7 linked regions of the Macaca fascicularis genome follow. The protein of the gene in region 7 interacts with the protein of the main gene of each other region in a pairwise test. Links are inferred from orthologs where the notes say so. Each region holds a gene or a part of one and is shown on either strand. Other genes may lie near its edges. The genes, in order: MGARP, CBR1, HSP90AB1, DNAJC4, PRKCZ, FGR and EGFR.

Region 1 (3,059 bases), on a different chromosome or scaffold from region 7:
AGTAAGGCCTCTTTTAGCCATCCTACCTAAAATTACAACTTCCACCTCGAACTAACACAATCCTTTTATTTTCATTACTTTTATCCTTAGCACTTATCAGTATCTAATATACTATATAATTTTCTCATTTGTCTTGTTACCTGGTTCCACTCTAGAATATAAACTGGGAACACTTAAAACAATGCCTATTATGTTGTAAGTGCTCAGCTAATATTTGTTGATCACGTGAATGAATGAATGATTCCTGGCACAAAGTGTTAATCCTCAATAAATATTGTTTGAACTGAACTGAAACAGAAAATATCTACATAGTCCCCTTTGTAAGTACTATAGATGGGAGAGGGCATACATATTGTTATATGCAGGGTTCTCCATAGACTATATGCTGTTTCTTCAATAATATTACGAAAGCTTGCATTTCTCATGTGATGTTATGTATGTGTATGTTAATATGTATTATTTGTACATGCAAATATTAGTGAAAAAAGTAGAAGCACCAAAGCTTTTCTAATTTTATTTGACTCAAACTATATTTTAGACCTACATACCATACAATAAAGTAAGCTAAAAGCATAGCAAAATTAAAGTAAATACAGGTTGTATGGATAGCTCAATTTCTCTCATATAAAATGTCAATTCAGAGATAGAGTGATAAAAGAAAAATGTCTAGGAAAAAAAAAGCCAAAGATGAAACTATTTAAGCTCTTTACTGCAATGTCATATTCTGATCTCAGACAGTAGAATAGTAATAAGAAATGTACAATCTCAAGTCTCTCAGTCCTAAAATCTATCAGTGGATGCCAAAAATCTTCAAGACACATTAACATTTTCTAGAAAATGTCTTTTTTTTTTTTTGTAAACTAAGTGTACTAAAAACACAAAAGCACTTATCAGACACTCTATGGCATTTGTTGCTGAAATGTCTACCAGCTGGAGATTAGCCTTGAGCGGAAGCAGCCTCAGAGCCAACACTGGCTTCCTCCTGTAAATCATCTCCAGCAGAGGACTCTGACTCAGCTGGAGAATTTTCTTCTTCTAGTTCAGCATATTCATCAGAGCTTTCGTTCTCTGTTGTATCTTTATCATTATCGATGGTGACAGCTTCATCCAGGGCAGCATTTGTAACCTCTGGGGTTGTTTCAGGGTTTACTTCTGCGGTTTCCCTTGCTGCTGCATCTGTCACCTCTGGCCCAGTTTCAGCACTGACTGCTGTGGTCTCCGGAGCAGCCTCCACGTGACCTGGACAGGCAGATGCCTCTTTTATGACCACAACTGTAGCACCGGGACTTTCTTCAGCATCTACCACCTCGGCTTCCACTGCAAGTACTTCTGGGGCTTCTGAACTTGCTTTCTCAGTTTCCGCAACATTCTCCTTTTCACCTTTAAGAATGAGTCATTAAGCAAGGTATTAATTTAAAGATCGCGGGAAGGCAATGAAACACTGTGGTCATTTAAACACGTAAGACAGAGCTACATGCACCGATGTGTAACCGTCTTCAAGGTAGACTCTCAAGTGAAACAGCAAAAAAAGAACAACGTATACAGTCTGCTAGTATTGTTAGGGCAAAATGGGAGGGGAGCAGGAGGCGGGTAAGTTGTATGCCTACGTAATTGTATTTGCAAAAACTCTCCAGGAGGATTCAAATAAACTGGTTTTATTGGTTGCCTCTTGGAGGGAAAATGGGGGTTCTGCTTTTCTGTAAACTCTTTGAACTTAAAAAAATACACTTGAATATGTTACTTAGGCAAAGATGAAGAATACAAAAATAAGCAGCTACCCTATTCACCTTTCATATGAGATAGCATGGAAGAGTAGCCAAGTTCCTAGCTGGTGACTCAGAAATCACTAATCCTCTCTCAACCTCATTTTTGTCATCTGTAAAATAGGGTATTCATAATATCTACTGCACAGGGCTATTGTAAAGATTAATTACAATACTGTATATGAAAAGGGGATTAAAATAAAAAGTTCTATGAAAATGCTTATTTTATTAGTATTATAAATAACCACGTGATTATATTCAATAATATGTATTGATGATATTCTGTTTCTTCTTATTGTCATGACAGGTGAAAACTGGTTCATAAGCCTCTAATATCTCTATCCCTAAATAGTGATCATAGTAATTGATAATAATAGCTTGCAAAAAAGTATGGTTTAAAGCAAGAAGGTGCTAGGCATAGTGGCTCATGCCTGTAATCCCAGCACTTTGGGAGGCTGAGGCAGGAGGGGATCATAGGAGTCCAGGAGATCAAGACGACCAGCCTGGGCAACATAGTGACACCCTGTCTCTGCAAAACATAAAAAATAAACTTGCTGGGCATAGCGGTGCATGCTTGTAGTTCTAGTTGCTTGAGAGGCTGTGATAGGAGGATTGCTGGAGCTCAGGAGTTCAAGGCTGCAGTAGGCTATGATTGCACCACTGCACTCTAGCCTGGTTGACAGAGGGAGAACCCATGGAGGGAAGTGGGAAGGGAAGGGGGAAGGGAAGGCAGGAAAGGAAGGAAAGGAGGGAGGGAGGGAGGAAAGGAAGGAAAGGAGGGAGGGAAGGAGGGAAGGAAGGCAGGGAGGGAGGGAGGGAGAAAGAAGTGTAGGAAGCAAGGAACGAAAGAGTGAAAATATAAAGTTTCTGTTCCCATGGTCACCATTTTATCAAATGAAGGACTCAATATACACGACTGATCCTGTTGTGTCAAATGGACCTTGTTTGCACAAAGGCACACAGGTGATCTTAGCCCAAACTGAAAGATAATTAGTTATATTATTATTTTAAATAATGAGGAAAATGAAAGCTCATGCCTGCATGGGTGGATGCCTGAGCAGCGGAAAGTAATATTATCACAAGAAGTCAAAAGTCACTGGTCAGCAATATAACTGTAAAACGTTCATTTGTCAAATGCATGCATCCAAAAGGTGTAACAGTGTTCTTCAGGTTTCAGTTGAGCTTTTTCTTTCTAAATGAACTTATACCCAGAGTCATTCTGGATTAAGCTAGGAAAGAAGCCAAAAGCAAATAGTGTTCATTGCTAGACTAAACGGATGGAAATTAGTGCCTCAA
Region 2 (3,958 bases), about 64 Mb from region 7:
GGGACCCTCAGCATCCAGGGGCAAAAGGGCCAAGTACACAGGGGTCTCTGCTCCTTCTTCTGGGCTCTTGGTGGCACTGGGTCCCGCCATGTCGGTTCTCACCCACCCTGGGCAGCAGGCATTCAGGAGGATCTTGTCCCCTTTCCTCTGCTCACTCAGTTTCCTGGCGTGGATCCTGGAGAGAACGGTGACGCCAATCTTCGTCACTCCGTATGCGCTGCTGGGCCAGCCCTCCTTCTGGTGCACTCCCTTCTTGGTGTCCTCCACAAACTTGTTCATGAGCCCCACCAGCTCCTCCTCGGTGATGGTCTCACTGCGGAACTTCTGCTGCAGCTCTGGGCTGCAGCTTTTAAGGGCTCTGAGACTCATCATGCTAGATATGTTCACCACTCTCCCTAAGATACACCACAAAGCATTATGTAGAAAGGTGTGCAACAATCCTGTAGAAAGGTGAATGCCAAATTTGCAGGGATTTTGAAGCAGAAAATTTTCATATGAGAGACAGTTGCTGGTATGAGTTCTAAGAGGAATGCGCATAGCAAGTGTGGTGGTAGTTGCATAAAGAACTTCATTCCTGCCTTCAAATTTTGGCTGAGTAGAGTCAGGTGAGATCTGGAAGAGCTGCCCTTTGAGGTCCTGGTGAACCAGAGCCTTAGAAGTAGCACAACTTAATAGGATGACAGGACAGGGAAACAGGATAAAAGCTGAGAGTAAGCCGTACATGAAAGTACCCAACTCGAAGCCACACATTTAAATTTTTCTAAAAGTAGCTGCTTAATTGCTGCTTTATTTAATGGGTGGGTTCATCTCCTGTCCCATTACTTAGGGTAACGATTACAGCAGTTTACAACCAAAGAAATGTGATAGTCGTATCCAGCACCTTGAGCACGTTGAAGGGGAGTTAAAATGGGCCCGGAGTTAAGCAGCGGCAGATTATGGACATCTCTGTGTGCCATGCTAAGGGCTTGGACTTTCCTCCTGAAGGATTTTTGGGAGCGGCATGACCATGCAGACAGCATGCAGGATGCTGGGAAAGGAAAAGACTCAAGACCAGAGGTGCCCTGTGAGGGTTTGCAGTTGTCCAGAGGGACAGGTGAGGGCCTGCTGTAAAGCCGGAGAGATGGATTCAGGAGGAACTCAGTGGGCACAACTCCTAGGACCTAGTAAGTGATTATGAGGGGTGGGGCATGGTGACCTGCACGATCCTGGTGGGTAGGTGGTGGGGTCTGTGTCCCAGATAACTTAGGGAAAAGGACAGGGATCCTCTGGAAACATCCTAGATTGTGGGGAAAGGCATCAGAAAGAGACGGAAAGGCAGCAAGACAACTATGTGGTCGGGAGCTTAAGGAGTGTTCCAGACAGGTGACAGGTATTAGAAGGGCCTAATGAACTGGTGGTAGTAAAGGTTCCACCAGCCTGAATAACATCTCTCTGAAAGAGCAGAGAAAGGGTACAGGATGGACTCCCACGCGGAGAGGCATGGAGCAAAGAAAGAGCATCTCTCAGGAGACGTTTGAGCTAAGACCTGAAGGCTAAGAGAGTTAGCCAGGTGTGCAAAGACCAGTGGGATGGGGAGGACGAATGGCCATGGGAGTGGGAGAAGTGAGGACAAAGTCCTGAGGCAGAATGGCACCTATCAGCTGGCAGGAGACAAAGCACAGAGGTCAGTGCACATGCAGCATGGAGAGGAAGCAGGAGCCTGTAGGAGAAATCCCAGACAAGCAGGGGCCAGAGTCAAGCCCCAAAGAGAAGGTGCGCTGTTTCCCATCAGACTCACCTTGGGGTTTTATTAGAGGGAGTAATTCTGTGCACACATCTCGGGTACCAAAGAAGTTTGTTTTCATCGTCACTTCCGCTTGAATATGAAAGGGTGTGGGATCAGCAACTTTTAGGAGAAAAAGAGAACATAGTTAACACATTGTACCCACAAGGTAAAATTCTATAGAATGATACTAAAAATAAAAAATTAGTGCCTTCTGTCTAAAGTCTGTGTCTGGTTACAGTATTGTGCCAATCTATTGGTTTGATAACGTTCTAGTGTTTTTGTAAGATGGTACCATTGGGGGAAAGAGGATGAAGGGCGCACACACTGGATCTTGGCATAACCATTTTTTCTTTTTGCAATTTATCGTTTATTTTAAAATCAGTTCAAAATTCATTCAATGGCCTTAAAGCTCAATTCAGAAAAACTGCAGAAAATCTGAAAGAGATCCCCAAAAGTCCGAGCCAGGGAAACACAAAGTTCCCTTTGGCTGGAAAACTCCCTTTCTCTAAGGTTTCTGCACTCCCTACATCTCCCAGCTCCTCCCTCTCCTCCCTAGGGAGTCCTTCTGGACCCCGCAGCCGGTAGGAGCCCCAGTGCAGCGCTTCTTCGACAGGAGCAGCCCACGTCGGGGAGGCCACGTCCCCTCCCCGTACCCTTGAAGGCGATGCCCGCGTTGTTGACCAGCACGTCCAGGCCCCCGTACTCCTTGAGCAGGAAGTCGCGCAGGGTGCGGATGCTCTGCAGGTCGTCGATGTCCAGCTGGTGGAAACGTGGGCTCAGACCCTCCGCCTGCAGCTGCTGCACGGCTGCCTGGCCCCGCGCTACGTCCCGCGCCGTGAGCACCACTTCCCCCGAGAACAGCCGGCACAAGTCGCGCACGATGGCCAAGCCGATGCCCTTGTTGCCTCCAGTCACCAGCGCTACACGGATGCCGGACTTCATGGCTGAATGGGACGCGCGGGACACCTGCGTGAAGAACAGACCTGGCTCAGGCCCTGGAGATGCGCGGCGTGTATCCCAGAGACTGCGCGAATCTGGCGGGCGTGGGGCGCCCACCCGTAGGTTACACGCCCGGCCGCTGAGCGCGCAGGCGCAGGCCCAGGCCCCGCCCCTAGCGGGGAGGGGCGGGCGCGGGGCGGGGCGGAGCGGAACCACCCCTACCCCTCCCCACCCGAACTTCGCCTGGGTGCAGAGCGGGCGGAGAGCCAGCTGGCCTGACTTTGCAGAACCTGCTGGCTGAAGAGCGAGCCCGCGGGCGGAGAGCCAGCTGGCCTGACTTTGCAGAACTGCTGGCTGAAGAGCGAGGACGGACTCTAGCTGCTGGCTGCCGGCTGCCCACATAACAGTGAAGAACCATTCGTAGTGGCCATGTGCCACTGCTTGTCCTTGGTTCTCTGAGGGGTTTTCTTCCTATTCCCCCAGCTGTTCAATCATTCCTAGTTGTGTTTGAAGAAATAGTACATTTGCATGTTTTTTTTTCCTGTTAAAAAAAAAAAAAAAAAGGCCGGGCGCGGTGGCTCAAGCCTGTAATCCCAGCACTTTGGGAGGCCGAGGCGGGTGGATCACGAGGTCAGGAGATCGAGACTATCCTGGCTAACATGGTGAAACCCCGTCTCTACTAAAAATACAAAAAACTAGCCGGGCGTGGTGGCGGGCGCCTGTAGTCTCAGCTACTTGGGAGGCTGAGGCGGGAGAATGGCGTGAACCCGGGAGGCGGAGCTTGCAGTGAGCCGAGATCGCGCCACTGCACTCCAGCCTGGGAGACACAGCGAGACTCCGTCTCAAAAAAAAAAAAAAAAAAAAAATATATATATATATATATATTTATATATATATATATATATATATATATATATATATATATATATATATACTGCAGGAACTGCAGTCTTTGGAGCTAGAGTTGCAGAAGAAACTGGAAGGAAATGACAGGGTATCAAGTTTTTGTTGATTTCCTCTCTAAGTATATGAAAACAAAGCTACTGACTTAGCCAGATTTTCCAATAATGGTGGGAAACATTCATTAAATCTTTACAAGGTGACTTCTCTGGGCATTTGCAGGGCCATCAGTTTACCTGTGCATAGGTGTAGGAGGTTTCACAGCCATATTTTACACTGAAAATAACACTCCAGGATGTACCTTTTAATCCCCATCTTAAAATGAAGAAACAGAGATCTATCCTGAGAGTTTAT
Region 3 (2,467 bases), on a different chromosome or scaffold from region 7:
GCTCTGCTGCCTTCCAGACTCCCCTCTGCAAATACCTGCATTTCTTACCCTGGTGAGAAAAGCACAAGCGGTGTAGGCTCCAATGCTGCTTTCCCAGGAGGGTGAAGTGAAGATGGTGCTGTGTTGTGGAAAGGGGATGCAGATCCCTGCCCAGCACCACCACCTCCTATGCTCCTGGATCCCTAGGCTCTACTCCATGAGCCTGTTGTAGGTTTTGGTACTTTAGAAATGTAACTTTTTGCTCTTATAATTTTATTTTATTAAATTAAATTACAGTAATGGACTTGGTCCTGTGTTTTGACTGAAAAGGCATTATTATATGGTAGTTTTTCAGAAAAACTGCCTTTAGCTTCAGTGTGTGCACTCTTAAGACTCACTGGTATTCTGTATCTTAGCTACAAAACCAGCTTAACTTGCTGTGCTCATGAAAACAGCAAGAGCTGGGGGGGATAGAGAAGCTAGGGAAGAATAAACATCCACTTCACAAGGGAGAGCAAAAGTGTATAAAAACGGCATATTCTTTATTTTGCATACTTTAATTTCAGAACAAAATGAAGAAAATAAAATAAACCACAACACACAACATCCAATCCTGCTGTCAGAGTAGAGAGGGAATGGGGCTTGACACCCTTGGTTTCCTGCCTTCAACACAAGGACAGGAGAGGAAAAACAACACTAGACATCAGCAGGGGGAGCCAGGTGGGACAGGGGCACTTGAGGCTGCAGTGGGAGCCACGGGGACACTATACAAGGGCACAAGTTTTCCAACTATGAACTTCTAACCTAATCGACTTCTTCCATGCGAGACGCATCCTCATCGCCCTCAAGAGGGGGAATCTCATCAGGAACTGCAGCACTGGGTTCTTCTGCTGCCACTTCATCTTCATCAATACCTAAAGTAAAATTAAGCCATGTAAGACTTGATTAAATAGCATTAAGTCAAATCCAGACAGGAGCCTAGTTGCACAAACTCCTTGCCACATCAAGTACCAAAGCTGCTTACCTAGACCTAGCTTGATCATGCGGTAGATGCGGTTGGAGTGGGTCTGGGGATCCTCAAGGGAAAAGCCTGAAGAGAGCAGGGCGGTTTCAAACAGCAGCACCACCAGGTCCTTAACTGCCTTATCATTCTTGTCGGCCTCAGCCTTCTGCCGCAGAGTCTCCACAATGGGGTGGTCAGGGTTGATCTCCAGGTGCTTTTTGGCCATCATATAGCCCATGGTGGAGTTGTCCCGAAGTGCCTGGGCTTTCATGATCCGCTCCATATTGGCTGTCCAGCCATAGGTGCTGGTCACAATGCAGCAGGGTGAAGACACAAGCCTATTGGAGATTGTCACCTGTGGACAATCACAAAAGCCTTAGATTTGCATTAGATCAGTGACCACTTTGAAAGAGAAAACGGACACTGTCAAGCCTGTAATTCCAGCAGGGGGAGGAGGAGGAGGTGGGGCCGATCACTTGAGTTTGAGACCAACCTGGCAAAACCCTCTCTCTACAAAATATACAAAAAATTAACCGGGTGTGGTGGCACATGTCTGTAATCCCAGCCACTCAGGAGACTTGAATTTGCAGTGAGCTGAGATCCAGTCAAAAAAAGAAGAAAATAATATTTTATCTACTCTCACAAGTTAACTGAAGCAATGCCTAATCTGTGCCAAATTTTATTAAAATAGCCTTAAACCTGGCTAGGGAAGAGAACAAGAGGCAAGAAGGCTCCAAACAGTAAATAGGGTGCCTCAAGCCACTAATTGTGTAAAAACATGATTGTGAGGGAGCCCACCTCAAAGGTATGTTACAAAATATATCCTAGCTCCAGAATGGCTTACCTTCTCAACCTTCTTATCTAAGATTTCTTTCATGAGCTTGCAAAGGTTCTCAAACTTTGCCTTGCTCTCTTCCATCTTCTTCTTCTCCTCCTCATCCTCAGGCAGCTCCAGACCCTCCTTGGTAACTGAGACCAGGCTCTTCCCATCAAACTCCTTGAGCTGCTGCACACAGTACTCGTCAATGGGCTCGGTCATATATACCACCTCGAAGCCCCGTTTCCGCACTCGCTCCACAAAAGCTGAGTTGGCCACCTGCTCTTTGCTCTCACCTGTAGGGTAATTAAATGGACTCAGTGACTAAAATGCCTCATACTGCCAGTTCCTAGGTAGCCCTGAAATGTGCTCCCCACTCCTCCAAAAAGGCTTCCATCAGAACCAACGCACCAGTGATGTAATAGATGGACTTCTGTGTCTCCTTCATGCGAGAAACATACTCTGACAGAGATGTCATCTCATCTCCAGACTGGGAGGTGTGATAGCGCAGCAGCTCAGACAGGCGGCGGCGGTTAGTGGAGTCCTCGTGGATTCCAAGCTTGAAGGGTGGGAAGAGAAAAAACAATCCAACTTAACTACAATTCACTTTCTATGTGAATGGAAAAATTTGTTAGTAATTACTAAGAAAGTGGTAAAGGGAATAAGCA
Region 4 (4,095 bases), on a different chromosome or scaffold from region 7:
CCGATTTCAAGCAACTCTTAGCTTGAGAGACACAATAGTACGGGACACGAGGTGCTGTGGAGGACTGGCTGACCACACTGGAATTCGCCCACCCTCCTGCCCTCTGCCCATCACCCCAGGGAGAACAGGCATCACCTGAAGGCAATGTAGTGCAGGCCCATGCCCGCCAGCATGAGGAGGAGGCAGTACCTCAGCACTTGCTTGTTTTGTTTGTGTTGCTGCTGCCTCGACTGGGGCCCCTGTGGCCTCACGCTATGAAACTGGGACCAGTACTGTGCGTTGGGGTGTGCCCAGGAGCTGCTGGGAGGCAGAGGAAGGGACATTGTGGAAATGAGCCTCCCCAAGAGACCTGGGGGTGGGGCAAGTTGAGGGCGGGATTACTGTACCTGTGTGTTTGGCCGGCAGACTTGTCATGGGCTGTGGTTTGTGGAGACTTTGGGGGACCACCTGAGCGGAGCTGAGCATCATACCTTCGGCGGCTCTGCTCACGGCTGAGCACACGGTATGCCTCACTCAGCTCCACAAAGCGGCTGTGCAGGCTTGGGTTCCCAGGGTCCCGGTCCGGGTGCAGCTGGGGTGGGGCAGGACTCCCCTTATCTCCCTTTGCCTGTCCCTCCCCAGGACCCATGCTGATGACATCCACCCACACCAGGGCTCTAGTCATACCCAGGAGCCCTGCCTGGTCAGTGACCCTCACTCAGGCCTGCCCACTCCTCAGAAGGCCAGAGAGCATGGACTCCTGCCTCCTCCTGCGTTCAAGCCCTCCCCACCTGCCAGCCCCCTGCATTCACCATATGCCCCGGTCCAGGTTTCTTAAGAGCAGGCAGGCAGGTCAAGAAAACGAAGCCCAGCCCATCAGACAGGACCCCTGGCTCCTGCCCACAGCCTTCCCCCCACCCTTGAGCACCCGCCACTCACTGTGAGGGCTGAAAAAAATGTGGCACCAGCCAGAGATGCAGGTCTACTCCTGGGAATTTGAAGCACACCCCCACTGGCTCAGAGTTCCTGCTCCCCCTCCCCACCTTAGGGGTACCGGTACCTCTTTGGACTTGGAGAAGAAAGCTCGTTTAACTTCCTCAGTGCTGGCACCAGGATGCACCCCCAACAGTTCATAATAATTACTGGGGCTGGACCTGTGGACAGAGTCGAAAACCTGCAGGGGCTGAGGGAACCCAGAAGCTAGCTCTGCCCTGCCCTTCCCAGCCCCTCCCTGGGCTACACCCTTCAACTCAGCTACCAGGAGCTGAGAGGGCTGAAACAGGTCCCAGGACAAATCTGTCTCCCTTTGGAGTGTTTCAGGCATAGTGCAGGTCAGGATTTCTCAAAGTGGAGTCCAAAGACTTGTTAGAAAATACTGATTCCTGGCCAGGTGCGGTGGCTCACGCCTGTAATTCCAGCACTTTGGGAGGCCGAGGAGGGCGGATCACCTGAGGTCAGGAGTTCAAGACCAGCCTGACTAACATGGAGAAACCCTGTCTCTCCTAAAAATACAAAATTAGCTGGCTGTGGTGGCGCATGCCCGTAATCCCAGCTACTGGGGAGGCTGAGGCAGAAGAATCGCTTGAACCCGGGAGGCAGAGGTTGCAGTGAGCCGAGGTTGTGCCCAGCAGAGATTGTGCCATTTGCACTCCAGCCTGGGCAACAAGAGCGAAACTTCGTCTCCAAAAAAAAGATAAAAGAAAAAGAAAGAAAAAACTGATTCCTGGCCGGGTGCGGTGGCTCAAGCCTGTAATCCCAGCACTTTGGGAGGCCGAGACGGGCGGATCACGAGGTCAGGAGATCGAGACCATCCTGGCGAACACGGTGAAACCCCGTCTCTACTAAAAAAAAAATACAAAAAACTAGCCGGGCGAGGTGGCGGGCGCCTGTAGTCCCAGCTACTCGGGAGGCTGAGGCCGGAGAATGGCGTGAACCCGGGAGGCGGAGCTTGCAGTGAGCTGAGATCCGGCCACTGTGCTCCAGCCCCGGCGACAGAGCGAGACTCCGTCTCAAAAAAAAAAAAAAAAAAAAAAAAAAGAAAAAACTGATTCCTGAGCCCCACCTAATTGATTCCTCCAGTTCAGAATCTCTAGAGCAGAGCCGAGGAATCTGGATTTTTGTACCCAACACCTCCCCATCTCCCACCTCCCACAGAGGGTTATGCACAGTGATGCCTGGAAACCACTAGAGCTGTGGTAAGAGCGTTGGGTTTAACCTGGACTCAAACTCCTCCTCTGCTGCTTAAATCGGTGTATGACCTTGGGGGTCTTCTCTATCTCTGATCCTCAGCAGGGAAGGCGAGGGTTACCTGAGACAAACCTGGGAGCCTCCTGACACGGAGTAGAGACCACAACTATCTCAGCACATAGGGCAAACAGAAACCCATTGAACAACCGGGCCGGCCCCCCGCGCCCAACTCACCGCTGCCCGGCGGCCGCTCCGAGGAGCCGGGAGGGAGGGCTGCGGGGCCACAGCCGGCACAGGCGCAGGGGTAGTAAGGGCGGCATGGCGGCGGGCGGACAGCTGGGAAAGGAGGCTACCAAGAGCGCACTGGTACCAGGATGGGGGCTACACTTCAAGCACCCGGGGGCAGAGAGAAGGGGCCCGGCCCGGTGTTCTGCGAAGGAAGACTGAAGCAGGCCCCGGGAGGGGGCGGTTCTTGCCCAGGACCAGACCTGCGTATTCTTGGACCTGCCCCTTTCTTTCACCCGGGCATCCGCAGCCCTTCCCAGCGCTGGCTTCGGGGTCTGGCCAACCAGCCAGGTACTCCGAGACCCCGTTCCCACCCAGGGAGCTTGTGGACGGGCGAAGGAGGGGCCACAACCAGGCCCCGCCCCCGCTGCTCAATGACCCGCGGCCGTCGCCATTTCCTGCGTCTACTCAGGCCCCGCCCTCGCACTCTCATTGGCGTGGATGCCAAGACCACGTCCACCAGGCGGGAAAAAAAAAAATCGGTGGAGCCCCCGCCCCTACATGTCTATTGGCCTTTGGTGCCTCCGGTCCCCCAGCCTGTGGACTCTCCGGACAGGCGCGGGCGCCCACCCGGGGACCGGGCGGGACAGAGCCCGCTCTCTGAGGCTTTGTGACGCTTTCGGCCCGGCCACCGTCTCTCCGTTCCTCTGTTGCTCCCCTCTGCAGCGAGGCATATCTTACAGAGCTGCTTCGGCCCCGGAGCCTCTCAGGAGGCAGCCAAGGGAGCCATAGCTCTTTATCCTCTGCTTGTAGAGAAGGACACTGAGGCTGGGCGGGTTTTTTTTTTCCTCAGGTCACTTGTCCTGCCTTACGCACTCAGGGCCCACTGTTCCTCTCTGTCACAGAAATAGCAGATGCCAACAGAATCCAAGAATAAAGTCCTTTATTATCTTCAGAGCGGTGGGAGTAGGGCTGGGGACCCTAGGGCTGCTCCGGTGGGACTTCCCTGAACCTGGTTGTAGAGGATGATGGCGCCTTTGGCCGAGGGGCAGAGTTCAGCCCACATCTCCGTCTCCTGCAATCTCCGCACGTTCTGTGGGGAGACAACAAGACCCAGGCATTCAAGCTTGCCACATCTCCTGCCAGGGCTGTGCCCAGAATTCCTGAGCCTCAGAGACCTCTGCGCTGTCCTTAGGGAGGCATGTTAAGGGGCTGAACAGGTCCCTGGACCTTTCCCTTGTACTAAGGGCAAATCTTGTGCCTCTGGAGGGAATTGTGACCCAGCCAACACCTGGGGATAATGCATTGCCAGGCCTCTGCAGGCCCCAGCCCTGGCCTCCAAGCAAGATGGTTTGTCACTCTGCACCTGTGTCTCCACAAAGATGATGCCTGTAGACTCGTGGGCCTCGGGTCCCCCACTCAGGTAGTGCTTTCTCACCTGCTCAGAAGTCAGGCTGCACCTGGACAAGAACACAGGGTGGCTTAGTGGGTGACCAGCCCCTGCGGGGTCCCTGTGGAGCCACAGCTGCCTCAGCCCACTCCTCACCACCCACCTCCCCAAGACCCAGGATCATGTACCCGAGCCCACTCACTGGACATAGAACTCGGCACTGGCTCGGCCAGCACTGGTCTCGTTTCGGGCGATGCCCAACAGCAGGGGCTGGCTCAGGGTGAGTAGCGGCAGGTTCACCTGTGGTGGAGGGT
Region 5 (3,500 bases), on a different chromosome or scaffold from region 7:
GAAGGTTCCATGCAATTTTGTGAGTCACCTTAGATTCTTTCTGGCAATAGGACAGTAGGCAATAAATCTAGAACAGTGCACTCAGTTCCCACACGCTCTTGTTAAAAACCGTGGCAAGATACACACACACACAAGGTAGCGTTTTGGGGCATGGAGTTCAGTGGCACTGAAGGCCCCCCGTGCCACGCAGCCACCGCCGGCCCCCGTTCCCAAAGCACGCCGCTCTTCCCTGCTGAAGCTCAGTCTGTCGGACACTCCCTTCCTGTCCCCCGCCCCAGCCCCACGTCCTCGCCCCAGATGGGCATGTCCCACTTTCTGTACCTCTGATTCGAGGACTCTAGGGACCTCTTCGCAGTGGAATCACAGTGTGGGTCCTTTGGTGTCCTGGAGTCCTCAGGGTTCATCAGTGCTGTGGCCTGTCTCAGGATTGCCTTCCTTTTTCAGGCTGGATAATGCCCATCGGATGGAAGGGCCACACTTTGCTTCTCCGTCCATCCCTTGGGGGGCACTTGGGTAGCATCCGCATGTTGGCCGTGGTGAACATGGGTGTAAAGTAATCTCTTGAACACCCTGCTTGCGGTTCTTTGGGGTATAGGCCCAGAAACTGAATTGCTAACCACAAAGGAATTCCGTATTTCTTTTCTTTTTTTTTTTTTGATGGAGTCTCGCTCTGTCACCCAGGCTGGAGTGCAGGGGTGCGATCTCAGCTCACTGCAACCTCTGCCTCCCAGGTTCAAGTGATTCTCCTGCCTCAGCCTCCTGAGTAGCTGGGACTACAGGTGTATGCCACCACACCCAGCTAATTTTTTTTGTATATTTAGTAGAGACGGAGTTTCACCATATTGTCCAGGCTGGTCTTGAATTCCTGACCTCAGGAGGTGATTCGCCCGCCTTGGCCTCCCAAACTGCTGGGATTACAGGCGTGAGCTGCCCAGCCTGGCGCTGTGTTTAATTTTCGAGGACCTGCCGGACTGTCTTGCGCAGCAGCGGCGCTGTTCTGCACTCCTACCGCAACGTGCCAGGGCTCCAGTCTTTCCCGCGTGGAAGCCGTCGTGTTATTTGCCTGCTCCTCCCCGTGTGGAGGCTGCCACGTCGTTCTCTGTGTCTTTGACAGCAAGCCATCCTAAGGCGCATGGGGCGGTTTTCTGGAGCTTTCATTGCATTTCCCTCCCTGGCCCTGTGCACTGAACTTTCAAATCCTGGGCCTGGTTGTTGAGAGGACGCCTGGCCCGTGGTAGGGCAAACGGGAGCGTGCGGCCCCCAGGCTGGAGCTGTTGGTGCAGCCTCCGGCACAGGCCCTGTCCCCATGACAGCATCCCGCCCCCAGGTTCTACGCGGCCGAGATCTGCATCGCCCTCAACTTCCTACACGAGAGGGGGATCATCTACCGGGACCTGAAGCTGGACAACGTCCTCCTGGACGCGGACGGGCACATCAAGCTCACAGACTACGGCATGTGCAAGGTGCGTGCCTCGGGCCGCCTCCCCCGACCATCCCGCGTGTGCTTCTCAGGGCGCCTGTCCTGCGGGGTGGTGTCTACAAGAACCCTCTTGTGATAACTCTGCCCCCACAGGAAGGCCTGGGCCCTGGCGACACAACAAGCACTTTCTGCGGAACCCCGAACTACATCGCCCCCGAAATCCTGCGGGGAGAAGAGTACGGTGAGTGCCGCGGCCGTCCCCTCTCGGAGCACACGGGGCCAGAAACAGCCTCGCGCCTCGCCCAGCGGCGGGGGAGAGGTTTCGCTGACCATCTTCCACCCAAAAGCCACACACTCTTTCGCAGCCGGATGTCATCATCTGGTCTCAGCCCCTTCTTTGAATTCTTGAAAACCTCCCGTGTCCACTTGAGCAGCCCCTTGGGGAAGGGCACCGCACAGGATTCCTCCTGCCAAGGAGCCCCAGGGGCACAGGGAGGGGAAAGGCACAGAAAGCGGGGGTGGGACAGGGTGCGGCACCTGAGTCCCCGTGCTGCCCACGTGGCTGGGGAGAAGCAGGTGTCTGGGAGCACCAGGAGGTGCAGGAGCGTGTGGAGAGGACCCCACCGCCCCTGCGGCTGAGGGTGCCACACACACCGGAGTGTTTCTGCTCCTCTCCCGTCTCTGGGAGTGAAACATGGACATGGTGGGCATGCGTGTGCAGCCCTGTGTGCGTGTGTGCTGGTGTGTTGTGCTGAGTCTTTATGTTTTGGGCATCCGTGTATATTGTGTGCACACGCATACTGTGTTTGTACACACCCCATCCACTTTTGCATCCTGGTGTTTTGTTTGCTTTTTTTTTGAGACAGAGTCTCGCTCAGTCGCCCAGGCTGGAGTGCAGTGGTTCGGTCTCGGCTCACTGCAAGCTCCGCCTCCTGGTGTTCACGCCATTCTCCTGCCTTAGCCTCCCGAGTAGCTGGGACTACAGGCGCCCGCCACCACCCCTGGTTAATTTTTTGTATTTTTAGTAGAGACGGGGTTTCACTGTGTTAACCAGGATGGTCTCGATCTCCTGACCTCATGATCCACCCGTCTCAGCCTCCCAAAGTGCTGGGATTACAGGCGTGAGCCACCGCGCCCGGCCTCATGCTGGTGTTTTCAGTGAGGCATACACGAGTGTGCCTTCAGATGTTTTTACACATTTTTTTGCCATCAGAATGGGGGTGGGGCAGGAAGGGTGGGCAGGTCACTCACCCCTGGGATAACTGGGCTCCCCAGCTGCCGCGATGGAAGTCTCCGTGGCCAGAGAAGGACAGATAGCAGATTGGAGGACTGGAATCCATTCTAGAACCCAGCTCGGGATGGGGATTCTGGGGGGGACAGCGGCAGCGTCTCACCTCAGCAGGGAGCAGGGGGACTTCTGGGGACCCAGGGGCAGCTGCCGTCCTTGGGCAAAACTGCTCAGGGCCTCCCACCCCCATTCGCTGGAACACGTTCCCATCAGGTTGGCTACTTGAACATTTTTAAAAAACAAAATAGCCGGGCACGGTGGCTCAAGCCTGTAATTCCAGCACTTTGGGAGGCCGAGACGGGCGGATCACGAGGTCAGGAGATCGAGACCATCCTGGCTAACACAGTGAAACCCCGTCTCTACTAAAAAAATACCAAAAAAAACTAGCCGGGCGAGGTGGCGGGCACCTGTAGTCCCAGCTACTCGGGAGGCTGAGGCAGGAGAATGGCATAAACCCGGGAGACAGAGCTTGCAGTGAGCTGAGATCCGGCCACTGCACTCCAGCCTGGGCGACATAGCGAGACTCCGTCTCAAAAACAAAAAATAAAACAAAATGACTGTGGAAGAAAACCCGGGAGAGTCTTTCCGTTATTGCAGCAAAAGGGCTTCTTCAAGCTTAGATCTGTGAACGCAGAAACGAGAGAGGAGGGTCATCCACAGGATCCACCAGTGCCTCGTGCCTCTGTGGTCACAGGTGCCCTGGCAGGACTGACAGCCCAGAGACAGCCTGGAGACCTCCATAGCGTCAGGGACGGTGGCAGGGAGGCCGAGCTGCCAGGCGGAGCTGCTGGT
Region 6 (3,500 bases), on a different chromosome or scaffold from region 7:
TCTGAGTGTTGCAATGGCAGAGTTTCTGGCAGGGTGTGGGGGACCCTTGCTCAATGACCTCCTGCCCTGTTGCTCAGAGGATACAGCTGCCAGAAAAGAGTTGGCTCATTGTGGGCCTTCCCAAGGGACTCTGGTGGCCCCAACTTCTGACGTGGTCCTTTCCCTGCTATGGGGATAGGGGCAGAGCTCCGGAGGCAGGTATCCACTGTCACTCAGCCACCACATGGAACCCTAGGGTGGCTGGGAGCACAGCAGGGTTCAGAAGAAGGACTGTTTTTTGTTTGTTTGTTTGTTGTTTTTTGAGATAGAGTCTTGCTCTGTCACCCAGGCTGGAGTGCAGTGGTGCGATCTCGGCTCACTGCAACCTCTGCCTCCCGGGTTCAAGTGATTCTGCTGCCTCAGCCTCCCGAGTACCTGGGACTACAGGCGCCCACCATCACGTCTGGCTAATTTTTGCATTTTTAGTAGAGATGGGGTTTCACCATATTGACCAGGCTGGTTTCGAACTCCTGACCTTGTGATCCACCCACCTCGGTCTCCCAAAGTGCTGGGATTACTGGCATGAACCACCGCGCCCGGCCAGAAGAACTGGTTTTTAGGAGAAGGTGACTGGGGACTATGAGGGAGCTGAGCATGGCTTGATAGAAATCCTGTTAGAGAGATGATTATAATGTACAAAATCATGCGTGTCTGAGTGTGTGTGTCTGTTAACCTGGCAGGCACCACATGTATATGTGCATGTGTCTGTGTGTGTGTTATTGTGAGCTTGGGCTTGTTAGAGCCTCTGTTGGCGTGTGACGGTGTTGGCATGCACACTCATGCAAATGCATGCTGTGAGTGTTGTTGCGAGACTGTGCTGGTGTGTCCCGTGAGTATGAGTGTGAAAGAGAGCTGGTGTGGGTGGTGTGCCCTGTGTGACAGTGGTTGTGTAAGTGTGCCAGGGGTGATAGGAAGGAAACTGAAGGCAGAAGTCATGCTGGGGCAGAGCCCAGGCCTTCTGGCTTCCTGAAGAGGGCAGGAGCTGGGCAGCTGCTGACAGAAACATTGGCAGAGCCTTCATCTTCCTTGTCCTTCTGTCTCACCCTCAGGTCTCTGACCCCTCCCAAGGATCATGCCGCAGCCCCACTGACCCAGGAGTAGGGGCCTAAGGGGTGAGTGGGGTGGACTGAGGGCTTTCAGGGTCACGAAACAGGGTGGGGGTGGCCTTCCTGAACCCCACAACTCCTCACAGCCCCTTCCTCCTATAAGGACCCTGTTGCTAGGTAACAGATGGGGGAGCCAGAATGAGGCAGCTTGAGAGGCTGGAGACTGGACCCATGACAGGAAATGGCCTTGATCCCCCTCTGCAGTGACTCTCCAGGTGCAGACACACAGCCTCACACACACTCACACATAAACATGCGCAGATATATAGACATACACGCAGAGATACATCCAGAGACAGGCACACTGCTCCCACACAGAGCTACGTGCACATTCCTAGACACACAGACACAGAGACACCCACTCACACAGACAGGCACACATAGACTCACACAGAAGCACATACACACAAACACGGTCTTACAGACATACACACATGCAGCCAAACACATACATAGAGACTTTTACACACTGTCACATACACACAAACCTGCACACACAGACACACAGACATCCATAAAGAGCTGCACACACACGCATACCCACACAGGCAAACTCACCCATACTTAGAGACACACAAAGACACACATGTACAAGCACACTGAAAGAGTCACAGAAACACAACATATCAAAGCATTAGGACCCAACCTGAGCAATATAGCAAGACTTTGTCTCTACTAAAAATCGAACAAATTAGCCAGGGGTGGTGGCACGCACCTGGAGTCCCAGTTCTTGGGAGGCTGAGACCAGAGGATCACTTGAGCCCAGGAGATCAAGGCTGCCGCAAGCTGTGATTGTGCCACTGCACTCCAGCCTGGGCAATAGAGTGAGAGCTTGTCTCAAAACAAAACAAAACAAAACAAAACAAAAAACAAAGCAATAGGAGGCAAAAATATACAAATAAGCATAGCAATATCCCAATGTAGAAAGCCAGCCCCGGAGACATAGACACGAGCCAATGGAAAGAGAAGCACTGAGCGGGGACATACTGTGAGGCAGACTGAACGGTACAGTAGGTGGCCCGGCTCCGTTTTTTTCCCTTAGAGGGAGGACCCCAATCTAGGCCCAAGAGAGAAAGCCATGTGCCTGTATGAGCGTATGAGCATGTGCGTACACGTGTGTGCACAGAGTGATGCACCTGGCAGGGGCCCTTGAGTGAGGCATGCCCCATTCTGTAGCAGGGAACCTGGAATGGGCTGTGTGTACTGCAAGAAATTGGAGCCGGCGGCCACGGCCAAAGAGGATGCCGGCCTGGAAGGGGACTTCAGGAGCTACGGGGCAGCAGACCACTATGGGCCTGACCCCACTAAGGCCCAGCCTGCATCATCATTTGTCCACATCCCCAACTACAGCAACTTCTCCTCTCAGGCCATCAACCCTGGCTTCCTTGATGGTGGCACCATCAGGGGTGTGTCAGGTGAGTCCAGGGGGCTGGAGTCAGGTGCTGCCTGGATCCTGGGAGAAACTGAGGGAAGAAGAGGAGATGCGGACTCGCCCTTAGGAGCCTCCAGTAGGATGTGGCAGACACAACCCCGCTTTCAAGATCACACAGGCTGAGGGAGTCTGTACAGCCCTACCGTCAGAAACCACAGTCTGCAGGGGAGGGTCAGGAAGCTCTACTCCCAGGCTGAGAGGGGCATGACCCTGTGACAGATGCAAGTGACAAAGAGAAACGTCTTGCCCTTTTAGGAGCCACTTCCCAGATGGGAAGTCTTCTTGGTGGGGAAGAGGAGGAGTGGGCAACAAGGGGATCCTCCGTGGTGGGAGGAATGGGCTTGAAGTTGTGTGTCCTAAGCTGTGGAGACCAAATCTGAAATTCCTTAGACTCCAAAGGCCTTTGGGAGCCGGGGCACTAGAGGAGTGGGGAGGTGCAGCGCCTGGCTGGGGAACAGGAATTTGGGGGTGCAGCCCCCTTGGTGCTTCTGCCCCATGCCCTACCCTGCTGAGTAGCCCTGACTCTGCAGGGATTGGAGTGACCCTGTTCATCGCCCTGTATGACTATGAGGCTCGAACTGAGGATGACCTCACCTTCACCAAGGGCGAGAAGTTCCACATCCTGAACAATACGTAAGTGACCAGGCCACCTAGTCAGAACATTGTCTGGGCTGGAAGCAGGACCCAGACAGGAATCCCGCCTGGTCCCTAGCCTCAGAATGCTCCAGCCTAGTTGCGAACACATATACATAAAAATAAAAACCCTGGATGATTGCAACTGTGTGCTGGGGTGGGGTGGGGGGTGGGGTGGGGGGTGGGTGGGCAGGTGTTGGGCCACTGCAACCGGCCTGGAGAAGGTGATTTTTTAAGCTGAGGCTATAAAAATGAGATAGACGGCCAGGTGCGGTGGCTCACGCCTGTAA
Region 7 (3,500 bases):
GGCTGGGCTGGTTTGGGGAGGGAGTAAAAGGCCAGAGTGCACCCTGTGGAGGAGCTGTCTGTAATTGAGAAGGAGCCACAGGAAAGAGATCTGCATTTGCAGGAAGCTCTCATCTGACCCCAGGCTGGGGACTGGGCCAGCTGAGAGCACTGGATGAAAAGACTGATGTTCAGATGTTGGATGGCAGGGGGTTAGAGTATCATCCAGAGGCTTCTCCTCTCCCTGCTGCTCTTCTTTCCCCCATCTTTTTCCTTTCTCCTACACTGATGAGTGGTCTTGCATAGGAGCCTGTAACCAATACCATTAGGAATTCTCCCCCACATATGCCCAGGGAGGCCAGACACCAGGGAAGAGCCAGATGGTCCTTGCAGGGCAGGCCTGGAGCTTCAGTGAGTCATGACCTGGAACCTGTGGCCACCCTGCCTCAGTAGGAGCTGGAATCACCAGACTTCTCATTAAATGTGAAAAGTAAGTAACCCTTATCTTGTTTAAATCCCTACAACTAAGCCAACTGGCTCATACCAGCCATCCAAGAAACTTGCTCTAAATCTCTTGTTTTTATAAGAATCTCAGGCAAAGAAGGTATTCCAGAGAATTCAGAGCAAAAAGGCTTTTCTGGGAAGCAATGGTAGCCACATATTTAGTATCAGAGATTCAGAGCCAAGGGAGTTTATGGGAGGCAATGCATATTTCATGCACTCTTACTCTCTTTAATGTTGCACAGTATTATCTAGTGCTTTAGGAGTCAAGTAGGGGCAGCAGTTCTCATAAGGGGGCTGCTTCCAAGGCTGGTTTTACTAAGAGATTCCCATCTCCTCCTCCATACCACTAAACTGATGATTACCATTACCATATTAAAGATGCTTGTGTGTGAGCACCTGCAAGTCTATTCCACTGTCAAAGCTGAAAATGTGGAAATTCTTAAAGAGTGGTGCTAAAAAGTCTATCTGGTCCCCGTGATAAGATGTGCATAACCTCAACTGCATCCTGAGAAAACACCAGCCGAACTGAAATGGTTAGACAGTCTGCAAAGTACCTGAACAACACGTTTTATAAGAGTCAAGGCCATGAAAGACAAGGAAAGACATAGGAGCTATTACAGGTTAGAATGGACTGAAAAGATCTGACAACTAAGTGCAATGTGGGATCTGGAGTGGACACAGAAGCATAAGCACTGGCGAATGCTGAGAAGTCTGTGGTTTAGCAGACAGCCTGTGCCAGTGGTCGTTCAGTCTTGATCCTTGTGCCTGCTCATGTGAGATAGCATTCGGGAATGCCGGCGAGAGATACAGGAGCTCTGTGCCCTATCTTAGCAACTCTCCTGTTAAGCCTAATTTCCAACTAAAAAGGCAAAATGTAATCTACCAGGCTCTTTGGCTGTGGTCAACTTACTGTTGCTTGGTCCTGCCACGTATGATTTCTAGGTTCTCAAAAGCATGGAGGTCCGTCCTGTTTTCAGGCCAAGCCTGAATCAGCAAAAACCCTGTAAGGCAGAGGAGACTCAGACACACACCACACAGGAGTTTCTTTTTTGTATGAGACATTACTCTAGACTCTCAGGGACTTTGTATTATAGGAACAGTGAGTGGGAAAATTGGATTTGCTTTCTTTTTCGTTATCATCTTCTCTGAGTGTACATGCGAATGGGCGGATGCAGGCCAGCCAGAGTTCACGGCTGCCTCCCGCCTCCCCCAGCGATTCCCCATGTCTCCCGCCGCCCCTCTGGCTGTGGCCCTGGGACCCCTGCTGCGCAGGGTATCTGATTACCCCCAAGAGGCTCCTGCTGCGATTATCTGCCAATTATGGATCTGGTATCACATACAAGGAGCTTTACAGATTTTCCTTATTTGATTCCAACCCTAAAACAGTTGTGTTATATAAGTCTAATTTTCCCATTTTAGAGAGGAAGGAAGCGGAGCTCAGGTGGCAGTCATGGACCCGAGGCTTGCCCGTGGCCCCACAGGGCTCTGGCATCCAGTTTCAAAAGCCTGAGGCCCAGGCTGCCCCTCGCCTACCCCTGTCCTCTCCCTCTACCCGCAGGGGTTATGGGCCACCAAGGCAGCTGGCTGGGGCCGGGTAGGAGGGAGAAAGCGTGTTCACATGCGCAGTGAATGACCTAAGCCTGGGCTTAACGTGTCCCCTTTTGCCTGCAGGGAAACTGTACTTTTGAAAAGTATCAAAACATCAGCCATTAATGGTAAAATTTCAGAAGAAATGTTTTTATTCCAAGGGAGAAGGAAATATGTCGAAAAGTTCTCGCTCTAAAACACTGATTTCCCATTTATATTCATGCGATCATTCAGCTCAAACCTGTGATTTCCTTTACGGTTTTCAGAATATCCAGTTCCTGTGGATCCAGAGGCGGAGTGTGTGTGAAGGAGTCACTGAAACAAACAACAGGTGATTATTGATCTCCTGTCTCTACCAGTTAAAAAGGCAGACTTTGTTTTTCTCTATACAAGTAACTGAACCTGTGACTCACCCCCTAAATGCCACCGGCAGGATGTGGAGATCGCCACTGATGGAGGTGCAGTTTTTGAAGTGTTTAATATTTGTAGCATTTATGGAGAGTGTGTCTTTAAATTCACCAATACCTATTCCATTACACACTGCAGAGATAAGAGAGACGTGTATTCCGTTCACATTGGTGGATTAAGAATAGCTAGGGATCCACAGGCAGAGGGAAGCAGGAAGGAATTCCAGTCGCGGGAACTGCCACTGCCATATCAGCCTTCATTCACTCAACAAACACTGACGGGGCTGGGGAGGGTGCGGGGGGCAGGGGGACACGAGGACCTATAGCACACTTTGGGGCTACGGCGGTATAGGAGATGCCATCCCTGTCACTGCACACCGACCTTGCATTCTCCTCATTATTTCCCCTGGGCCGCATGGAGCTGGACTGCTTCCAGCTCTGCCTTCCCTGGATTCTCCCCAGGGCTGGGCATCTGGCAGCTGCTGAGGGGCTGGCTCTGTGCACTGTTCTCGTCGGAGCCCCCCACCCTATCACAACCTTCAGTGCCTTCCCATTGCCTAACCTGGCTTTGCAGCTTTATCTTCTATTTTAAAGAAATGATATTTATAGTTGTTTTTTAATGAGAAGAAGAAGTAGTGTTCATTTGGAGGTGGCATGAAAGCCCAGCCTCAGCAGCTGAGAACAAGCCTCATCCGCACACCAGCGGGCTTCCTACCTTTGCGGCAAGGCCCTTCGCACTTCTTACACTTGCGGACGCCGTCTTCCTCCATCTCATAGCTGTCGGCCCCGCAGGCTCGGACGCACGAGCCGTGATCTGTCACCACATAATTACCTGGGGAAGAGAGCATGAAAGGAAGGTGACGACGGTGGCGCCAGGTGCTCGGGCCTCACACAGACAGTCCAGGTCCTCCTCTCGAGTGCTGATGGAAAGGCTCCATCCTCCTTTGGCTTTATTTACTTTAAGGACAAAGAATGAAAGGTTGCAAATAGAAAAGGAATTCCGTTCAATAGTTTAATAAATTCT

Evidence for each region.
Region 1: the proteins of EGFR (region 7) and MGARP interact in a protein complementation assay, tested with the Homo sapiens proteins (2 studies listed by BioGRID and IntAct). The link is inferred for Macaca fascicularis from reciprocal best matches to the Homo sapiens genes EGFR and MGARP.
Region 2: the proteins of EGFR (region 7) and CBR1 interact in a protein complementation assay, tested with the Homo sapiens proteins (2 studies listed by BioGRID and IntAct). The link is inferred for Macaca fascicularis from reciprocal best matches to the Homo sapiens genes EGFR and CBR1.
Region 3: the proteins of EGFR (region 7) and HSP90AB1 interact in binary tests that used the Homo sapiens proteins (3 or more experiments, as listed by UniProt). The link is inferred for Macaca fascicularis from reciprocal best matches to the Homo sapiens genes EGFR and HSP90AB1.
Region 4: the proteins of EGFR (region 7) and DNAJC4 interact in a protein complementation assay, tested with the Homo sapiens proteins (2 studies listed by BioGRID and IntAct). The link is inferred for Macaca fascicularis from reciprocal best matches to the Homo sapiens genes EGFR and DNAJC4.
Region 5: the proteins of EGFR (region 7) and PRKCZ interact in a protein complementation assay, tested with the Homo sapiens proteins (3 studies listed by BioGRID and IntAct, with this or other methods). The link is inferred for Macaca fascicularis from reciprocal best matches to the Homo sapiens genes EGFR and PRKCZ.
Region 6: the proteins of EGFR (region 7) and FGR interact in binary tests that used the Homo sapiens proteins (3 or more experiments, as listed by UniProt). The link is inferred for Macaca fascicularis from reciprocal best matches to the Homo sapiens genes EGFR and FGR.

Annotation. Positions count from the first base shown.
Region 1 is NC_088379.1:144,415,373-144,418,431, forward strand, and holds the end of MGARP (protein MGARP), read right to left. Parts: intron 1,381-3,059; coding exon 938-1,380; 3' UTR 501-937; downstream 1-500. UniProt on the Homo sapiens protein: Plays a role in the trafficking of mitochondria along microtubules. Regulates the kinesin-mediated axonal transport of mitochondria to nerve terminals along microtubules during hypoxia.
Region 2 is NC_088377.1:10,882,558-10,886,515, forward strand, and holds the start of CBR1 (carbonyl reductase [NADPH] 1), read right to left. Parts: upstream 2,801-3,958; 5' UTR 2,708-2,800; coding exon 2,419-2,707; intron 1,886-2,418; coding exon 1,778-1,885; intron 668-1,777; coding exon of another isoform or gene 396-667; coding exon 1-395. UniProt on the Homo sapiens protein: NADPH-dependent reductase with broad substrate specificity. Catalyzes the reduction of a wide variety of carbonyl compounds including quinones, prostaglandins, menadione, plus various xenobiotics.
Region 3 is NC_088378.1:127,264,848-127,267,314, forward strand, and holds the end of HSP90AB1 (heat shock protein HSP 90-beta), read right to left. Parts: intron 2,359-2,467; coding exon 2,211-2,358; intron 2,096-2,210; coding exon 1,827-2,095; intron 1,338-1,826; coding exon 1,004-1,337; intron 894-1,003; coding exon 784-893; 3' UTR 501-783; downstream 1-500. UniProt on the Homo sapiens protein: Molecular chaperone that promotes the maturation, structural maintenance and proper regulation of specific target proteins involved for instance in cell cycle control and signal transduction. Undergoes a functional cycle linked to its ATPase activity.
Region 4 is NC_088388.1:10,164,321-10,168,415, forward strand, and holds the start of DNAJC4 (dnaJ homolog subfamily C member 4), read right to left. Parts: upstream 2,801-4,095; 5' UTR 2,487-2,800; coding exon 2,401-2,486; intron 1,134-2,400; coding exon 1,040-1,133; intron 572-1,039; coding exon 387-571; intron 301-386; coding exon 136-300; intron 1-135. Other genes in the region: uridine diphosphate glucose pyrophosphatase NUDT22, read right to left, coding at 3,344-3,484, 3,758-3,851, 3,984-4,081.
Region 5 is NC_088375.1:232,605,381-232,608,880, reverse strand, and holds part of PRKCZ (protein kinase C zeta type), read left to right. Parts: intron 1-1,327; coding exon 1,328-1,463; intron 1,464-1,573; coding exon 1,574-1,661; intron 1,662-3,500. UniProt on the Homo sapiens protein: Calcium- and diacylglycerol-independent serine/threonine-protein kinase that functions in phosphatidylinositol 3-kinase (PI3K) pathway and mitogen-activated protein (MAP) kinase cascade, and is involved in NF-kappa-B activation, mitogenic signaling, cell proliferation, cell polarity, inflammatory response and maintenance of long-term potentiation (LTP).
Region 6 is NC_088375.1:207,442,968-207,446,467, forward strand, and holds part of FGR (tyrosine-protein kinase Fgr), read left to right. Parts: intron 1-465; 5' UTR 466-605; intron 606-1,088; 5' UTR 1,089-1,151; intron 1,152-2,321; 5' UTR 2,322-2,334; coding exon 2,335-2,560; intron 2,561-3,107; coding exon 3,108-3,210; intron 3,211-3,500. UniProt on the Homo sapiens protein: Non-receptor tyrosine-protein kinase that transmits signals from cell surface receptors devoid of kinase activity and contributes to the regulation of immune responses, including neutrophil, monocyte, macrophage and mast cell functions, cytoskeleton remodeling in response to extracellular stimuli, phagocytosis, cell adhesion and migration.
Region 7 is NC_088377.1:75,246,011-75,249,510, forward strand, and holds part of EGFR (epidermal growth factor receptor), read right to left. Parts: intron 3,309-3,500; coding exon 3,192-3,308; intron 2,610-3,191; coding exon 2,483-2,609; intron 2,385-2,482; coding exon 2,311-2,384; intron 1,484-2,310; coding exon 1,393-1,483; intron 1-1,392. UniProt on the Homo sapiens protein: Receptor tyrosine kinase binding ligands of the EGF family and activating several signaling cascades to convert extracellular cues into appropriate cellular responses.